Linked DNA regions of Pelodiscus sinensis. The protein of the gene in region 1 purifies or fractionates together with the protein of each later gene. This does not show direct contact. Links are inferred from orthologs where the notes say so. Each region holds a gene or a part of one and is shown in the gene's direction. Other genes may lie near its edges.

What was found.
Region 2: the proteins of IGF2BP1 (region 1) and ELAVL1 purify together in Homo sapiens (co-immunoprecipitation; 3 studies listed by BioGRID and IntAct, with this or other methods). This does not show direct contact. The link is inferred for Pelodiscus sinensis from reciprocal best matches to the Homo sapiens genes IGF2BP1 and ELAVL1.

Annotation. Positions count from the first base shown.
Region 1 is NC_134739.1:14,417,801-14,421,705, forward strand, and holds the start of IGF2BP1 (insulin-like growth factor 2 mRNA-binding protein 1), read left to right. Parts: upstream 1-1,028; 5' UTR 1,029-1,440; coding exon 1,441-1,615; intron 1,616-2,873; coding exon 2,874-2,934; intron 2,935-3,905. UniProt on the Homo sapiens protein: RNA-binding factor that recruits target transcripts to cytoplasmic protein-RNA complexes (mRNPs). This transcript 'caging' into mRNPs allows mRNA transport and transient storage.
Region 2 is NC_134729.1:30,214,686-30,218,590, forward strand, and holds the start of ELAVL1 (ELAV-like protein 1), read left to right. Parts: upstream 1-1,256; 5' UTR 1,257-1,391; intron 1,392-3,905. UniProt on the Homo sapiens protein: RNA-binding protein that binds to the 3'-UTR region of mRNAs and increases their stability.

The DNA of each region.
Region 1 (3,905 bases):
GGGGCGCGGGAATCCCCTTCATGCTAAGCAATTCCCAGCCCTACCCCCCATGTGGCCAGGATTGTGGGGCACAGGGGGACACCCCCTTCATCCTAAGCAATTCCCAGCCCCTCCCCCCATGTGGCCAGGATTGTGGGACGCAGGGGGACACCCCCTTCATGCTAAGCAATTCCCAGCCCCTCCCCCCATGTGGCCAGGATTTGGGGGCGCGGGAATCCCCTTCATGCTCAGCAATTCCCGGCCCCTCCCCCCCCATGTGGTTAGGATTTTGGGTGGGGTCTACACTCTGGCTTCTTGGCAGATCCAAACATGCGCCCTTTTGGAGGGGAGAGGTAGGGGAAGACCATGTGCACTTCTGTCCCTTACTCCCTCCTCCCCCTCCGGTTCTCAACGCCCGCACCCTGCGAAAACCAACGGGGGGCGGGGAAGCGAGAAGCAAGGATTTCATTCACCCTTCTCAGTCGCGGCAACGTGATCTGCCCCCCTGCCTCAACCTAGTTCCTGGAGAATTTCTCCCAGCCCCCTCCCCCCATTCCTCCTTTTGTGGCTTCAGTTCTCCTCCCTTCTCAGTGCTCCTCCAACAGAAGGGGGGGGGCAGGGTTACATCTTCCTGTCCCTCCCAAAGAATCTCTTCTTATCGAGTGGTGTTTAGGGCCCCCCACTGATCCCGGGAGGTGGGTTACCATGCCCACGGAAAGCCCGGGACTCCACGTTTCCCCTTTGATTAAGAAGTTTACACCGGGCAAATCCCATTCAAGCCCTTGGAAGCCATGGGGGGAGGGGAGGGGAAAGGGGCAGCTGTGTGTGTGGGGGGGGGTGATGTTGAGAGAAGACTGAGGGGGGCGAGGAGACGGAGATGAAGTGGGGGGGGTGCCCCCCCCCCCACTCTAAAGCCTACCTTGGGAAATAGTAAATAAAATAGTAAATTTTGTTCTCACCACCCAGGGCCTGCCCAGCCCGCATGCCCCTCCCACTCCAGGGGCCGGGCCTTGGTCCCCACCACGTGGCTTCCTCTTGCAAACATTTTCACTCATTTTTCCAGGTCGATTTTATTTAGAGGCGGGCTCCGAGCGCGACTCGCAGGAGTTGGAGGCTGGAAGGAACCAGCCGCCGCACTTTTCCCCAGCCCGCCATACCAGTTGAACCCACCCCCTGCCCCCATTGTAAGCACGAGGCATCCCACCTCCCCCGGCCCCTCCCTAGAGGACCCCCCCCTGGAAACCAACTCGCCTTCCCAGCTCTTGGGCTCCAGTTTGAACTGGGAACTTTCCCCCTTTTTTGGAAAAAAAAAAGGGCGGGGGGTGGACGTGCCAAACCCGCCCCCCACCAAGAATCCGCAAAGAAAAGTTGGTCCCCCCCCTCCCCAGCCCTCAGAGCCCTCCCTCCCCCTTCCCCTCTTCACACCCACCCACCTACCAGCCACATCGCTGGGGCTCAACCATGAACAAGCTGTACATTGGGAACCTAAACGAAAACGTGACTCCAGCCGATTTGGAGAAAGTCTTCAATGAGCACAAGATCTCCTTCAGTGGCCAGTTTCTGGTGAAATCGGGCTATGCCTTTGTGGATTGCCCCGATGACCAATGGGCCATGAAAGCCATCGAAACTTTTTCTGGTAAGCAGCTTTTCTCCCCCCCCCCCCCCCTTTCCTCCTGGTGCGGCACCACATCTCTTTTAGCCTCCCCCGCCCCGCAGAAATAGCCCCACTCAGGAAAGGGGGGGCTGCTCTTCTAGTCCCCCCCTTCCCTGCTTTCTCCTGCCCCCCACCCCCGTCCATCGCCTTGGTGGACACGCAACTCAGGCATGGCCCTCCCATTTCGCGAGTGGGCCGGATCCTCTGGCGTCTCTCGGGGCCTCCCAACAGCCCAAATAACAAAGCTGCCCCCCCCCCGCAGCGAGTCGCGTGGGGGCCGCGAAGGCCACGCGGGGCCAGCACCCGGGATTCCCCAGCCAAGTCCCTAGTGGGGACCTGAAATCCCCGATTCACCCTCCCTGCCCCCCAAAGAGCTGGGCCGGACCGAGTCTCTCCCCTGCGTTCAATCAGGGAGCCTCTCTTCCTCCCCCCTGCAGCCAGAGCCCCCCACAACCGGGCGGGGGGCCCCCTGAATCCAGCCCCTCGCTTCCCTCCAGCAGCACTGGGCCCTTCGGGGCTTCCCAGCAGCCAGCCCCCGCCCCCCAGCATGGCTCCCCGCAAGGCGTGGGGGGTCGCGATCGGGGTGGGGGTCCCGTCTGCAGCGGGGTGGGGGAGGGGGGCGTTGGACTGAGCCATTTTGATTCGAAGCTGGGGCTTGCTGGGGGCATGTGGGCTGTGGGTAGCGCGGAGGTCGCCATGCTGTTCTCCCCGAGAGAAACTAGGAGGGAAGCAAACACGTTTCTGAGGATGCCAGGCGCGCCCCAATCCAAACCCTCCTGTGCCCCCCAGATGAAAACCAGGGGCAGGGCGGCTCTCCCCGTGGTTTCAGGGCGAAACCCCTTCGTTCCAGGGAGGGACATTTTTTTTTCTCTTGTGTGACACAATTCTGCCCCAGAGAGCTTCCCACACAAAAGCAGCAGCAAAGACTCGAGCTGCCCATTTAATTCTTCCCTTTTGCTGAAGCAGAGACTTCCCTGGTCCAAACACAGCCCGGGGGAGCGAAGGAATCCAAGAGCCCTAGCCCACATTTCCCTCCCCACAAGCCCCTATCCTTCATGCCTTCCCCCCCAGCTTGAAACCAGTTTTGTATTTCACAAAGTGCCCTCGCAGAGGAATCAGAAAATGCAGTTGGTCTGTGTAGGCCACTGGCATTAAAAAAGAGCCATGGGCAAGAATGAGGCCCAAAGCTTTCTGCATCCCACCCTACTTAGATTTTAAAAAAGACACATTTTGTTTTTAGGGAAAGTGGAACTGCATGGAAAACAGCTAGAAATTGAACATTCAGTGCCTAAAAAGCAAAGGTAATACAATGATTTAATTCCTCTTATTTTTTTTCTCGTTGCAAAGATACAGCTAACTTACTGGGAGCTGGGGGAGAGGTTTATCCTCACAATTAGGTGAATGTGAAATTAAATTGAAGAAACAATTATCTCTGCCCAAAGCTAGGCATGAATCCGTTCTGGTGATCCACCTTTACATGTCATCTTTGTCTAAATTAATTTGGAAGTAAGTTTACACACACACACAAACAAAAAAGGAAAAAAAGTAGGTGTGGGCCAAGAGGGTGAATTGCTGAGATCTTGCTAAAGATACTGTGCAGTTCACTGCTCTTTTGTTCACTCCAAAATCCTTTTTTTTAATTTAAAATTTTGAATATTTAAAAAGAAATTGTTTTATTTTTCTAAATGGGAAGGAGGGCTTATTTTCTCATTTTGGGCCAAGGTGTAGTTTAAAGGAATTGAACTGAGGAAAATAGCCCAGTTTCTCAAAGATAATAATTACAGCACAGGGAGAAATCTTCAATTTCCTTTCTCTCGCCTTTAAACATGGAAAAAGTGTCAAGTATAATTTCTTCCAGTAGATTTTTTTTTTCAGAAGCCCACAGACTTCTCCATGCTCTTGGCCTTTTGTCGTTGGTTGCTCGCACGTTGAGCTAACAGTTTATTCTGGTGACCCAGCAGATATTTTGCAACTTAGGGGAGATGCCACATTTAAAAAAAAAAAAAGAAGAAGAAATGTTTTCTAGAAAGGCTGAATTTTCCCTACCCCCAGGAAGCAGGCCAGTGGTCCCCAAATCCAAATAGGCCATGCTGAATTCTAACAGAATCTGTAATATGTCTGGTCCACGTGACTAGGCAGTTACTTCAACAACAGAGCAGAAGGAAGGTGGCTCTTGAAAAAACTAAAATAATGTTTTATGACAGAAAAAAACATACCCGAAGACTCTAGTCTAGTCTGTTTTGTGAGCAAAGGGGTAGGCCTTAATTCTTGC
Region 2 (3,905 bases), on another chromosome or scaffold:
GCAAAGGAGTTTGCGGGGTACAGGAATCTGGGCAGGGAGCTGGGGTGGGAAGTTAGAGTAGGGAGCGGAGGGTGTGGAGGGCTCAGGGCAGGATGTTTGGGAGGTTCAGAAATAAGGGGTGGGTGTTGAGAATGGGGGCTCGTCAGGGGAATGTTGGGGGTGCAGGAATCAGGCAGGGTTTGGAGCTGAGGTTGGGGGGGTCAGGGCAGGCGGCTGGGTGCTGTATGGGTAAGTGAAGGGTGTCATTTTGGAAGGGTGGCAGAAGGCAGCTGCACATACTGGATTGCTGCTGCTCTTCCTCTTTCCCGACCATCAGGGAGCAAGGGGAAGTGTGCAGCTTGTGTGGAATCTCCTCTGCTCCTCCCCTGGGCAGCCAGGAGTGAGAAGAAGGCTCCCAAGCTGCACACTTTCCCCTCACTCTTTGATAGTCAAGGGAAGGGAAGAGCAACAAAATTCTGGGTACATAGGGTTGCAACCCTCCACTTTTCCTCAACGGAGTGGGGCAGAGGTGGAAGCTTTAGGGGATGGGGCAGTCCTGGAGGAGAGGGGAATGGGAGGGGCAAGGCAGCCTCTGGGAGAGCCCTAGGAACTTGGCTAGGAGCAGCTGCAGCTGAGTGCCCAGCCTGCAGGCTTCTTTTTGCTGGAGTGCAACATGGCCACATTGGGGCACACTGGTTTTCACCTCTGTATTTGGGCTGCCCAGTGCCATGAACCTGTCTGCATAGCGTGTCCTGCGTGCCCCTGGCCAGATCTTTTCAACGATTCCAGCTTCTTGCTTTTCATCCTTACTGTTGTATTGCTCTTGAACAAGGGAGAGGGCTAAGCCTTGCTCTAGCTCTACAAGTAAAATTGGGGCAACCTGGTACCTCACAGGCAGGAAGACGCCTGCTTGCCAGGCCAGGTGAAAGTGCTCATGGGTCCATGATTTTACTTTGGCCAAAAATGCTTGGGACTGAATGGTGAGCATCAGTATTCGCTGCCAGAAGCGCCATTGTCTCTACCAGCCCAGCTACACACGAGCAGACCGAAGCCTTCCAAGGAACGTGAGCGGTGGAAGCAGCCACCAACCAAGGGCTGCCCCCGGGGCCAGCGAGCACCACGAGACAGGGCGCGTGGGCTAAGCGCGCAGCCCAGGTAGCCAGGAGCCATCCCCAGCCCCTCCCACTCCCGGCCCGCACCTCCCACCCGGTCTGCACTCCCGCCTGATGGGAGACTCCGCCCCCGGGGGGCGATTGACGGACGGGACGTGGGTCCAATAGGACGCCGGCCACGTGCGCAAAGTAACCAATGCGGGTCGGTGGGCGTGGGCAGGGGCGCCGCGAGAGGCTGGTTGTACGCGCTGAGGAGCCGTTACCCTCTTGCTGCCCAGGGCCTGCTGGCGCTGCCGACAGGTGAGGCCCGGCCGGGCCCCGTCTCCTGGCGGGGGGAGGAGCGGGCCGCGCTGGGGCCGGGAGCGAGGCTGGGGCCGGGGCTTGCGGGCAGGCCTGGGGCCTGTGTGTGTGGAGAGCAGCGGCGCCGCGGCCTGCAGGGGGAGGCCGGGCCTGTGCGGGGGGAGGGGCGGAGGCAGGCCCGTTGGACGGGGCGACCCTGGTTCCTCAGAGCGGGGGTGGGGGTGGGGGAGGGAGCGGAGCCCGCTCGCCCGCCCCGCGCGCTCCTGCGTTTAAATCTCCCACTCGCTGGCGCGCGGGGATCCGGCGGGCGCGAGCCTCCCCGCTCTGAGCGAGCTGAGCCCGCGGCGGGGCTGGTGCCGCACGGGGGGGCTTCCGCGGCGTGAGCGAGAGGCGATGGATCACCTGCGGGTGCACAGCCGGGCGAGGGGACGCCCACGTCTGGGGGCGGCGTGTGCGGGGATCGGGCCGGGGGGGGGGTGCTGGGAGGCAAGCAAGGGGATGTGTCAGGGCCACTTGGCTGGCGCAGTGGTAGAGACGCAGCCGGTTAGTCTGGGGCAGCTGAAACACAACACAGGACAGTGCAGCACTTGAAAGACGAACAAGATGGTTTATTAGACCATGAGGTTTCGTGGGCCAGACCCACTTGCTCAGATCTGAGGGGTCTGGCCCACGAAAGCTCATCACCTAATAAACCATCTTGTTCGTCTTTCAAGTGCTGCATAGTCCTGGATTTTGATTGGTACAGGCAGGCCCCGGGTTACGCACAAGATAGGGACTGTAGGTTTGTTCTTAAGTTGAATTTGTATGTAAGTCGGAACTGGTACATATTGTAGGGGAAACTCTAGCCAAACATTTCTCCAGAGCTCAGTTTTATTCTCCCAGACCTCACTTCCCTCAGGCCTTTATTCTCAAGCGGAGGTGTCTGCTGAGAAAAGCCGCTCCGCGTCTCCCTGGTCTGCTGGGGGGAAGCAACTAGTGCGGGGTTGCCTCACCCCGTTTGTAAGTAGGGATCCGATGTAAGTCGGATCCATGTAACCTGGGGACTGCCTGTATATATGTTGGGGAGAGTGTCTTTTGTGCACTGGTAGAAGTACATGTGACAACGTGTTGGGTTGTGGAGGTGTTGATATGGTGGGTATGGAGGAAGAGGATGGGTCATCTAGAAGGGTTCTCTTGTTGCTTTTGATGTGGTTGATGACTTAGTCCTCTTGATATTTCTCTGTCTTCAATATTTTGCACATGGATGCTGTATTTATTGAATAGACAGGGTGCTGTACAAATAGAGTTGCTGACAACTCCATTTCCTTTGAACAATTTTCCATACCTCTTTTTCAGTTTGCTACTGTTCTTTAGTTTTTTTGTTGTTTCTGTATACTTTCTTCTTTCTGACTTCGTTGCCATCTAAAAATTCGTTATTGTCCCTGAATACTCATGACACTTCCATACTCCCTGTGCATTTCAATTTATTTAGTTAATGTTGATATCTTTAGTGTCCAGCCATATGCATCTTGCATTCCATAATGAGGGATGTACTGTAACTATTTACTGATAAAAAGCTTCAGAGGGGTAGCAGAGTTAGTCTGTAACTGGAAAAACTTTAAAAACAACAAGTAGTCTTGCAGCACCTTAGTAACTAGGGTTTTTTTTCTAGTTACTGATAAGAAGACCTAATCTTTTCTAATTTTTTTTTCCTGGTTCCCATTGATAACTTCACTTTCTTGTGTCCCTGTTGGTAATCTTGCTGTGACCTTTAATTCTTCTTTGCCCCATATTAAGTGTGTTGTGGAAACACCTGATGCTTCTTTGTTCAAAATGTGTCCTGTATTGACTGCTAAAATCCTTATCCATATCCTGGTTGCTTTCTGGCTTTATTAGAGTAATCGCTTGTCTGACCTCTCTTTCTCTCTCTCTCTGTTTGTAAAGCTGCTGCCAAAATCATCTTTCTTTTTTCTTGTGACTTAATGTTACTGGGATCCTCCTTTGGCTTCCTGTCTATGAATATATAAAATCAGCACAATACTCATAGAAAGTCCTACATAAACTTTAACCCCTACCCTCTCTGTCTCATCTCTTCTTATTCATTTTCTGCTTCTTATCTTTTTGTCTTCTTCAAACCTTTGTTGTCTTTCCTCAATCCTAGATTTGTGTCTTCTGTCCCTTTCTGTGGTTGGAACAGCTTATTGTCATCTGCCTGAAGCTCACTCTCTTTCTTTAAAATTTGCCTCTCTAAGCAGTCTGAGGAACCTTCACTCTGTCGTCTTGTTTTTGATTCTTATGTTCTTGTGAGAACTTCAGAGCAGAGATGTAATGGTTCTATCAGACTTCTGATTTTCACGGGCCTGTACTTTCTGAAGCCCAGAGCACTTACTTACTAGCTCAGGGCTAGTCTACAGTTGAAAGTTTATGGTAATAGCTATTCTGGATTAATTACCCTGCAATAGTTATATTGGTATGAGCCCTATGTAGGCACTCTTACTTTAGAATAAGTTCCCACATTGGCGCTTATATTGGAAA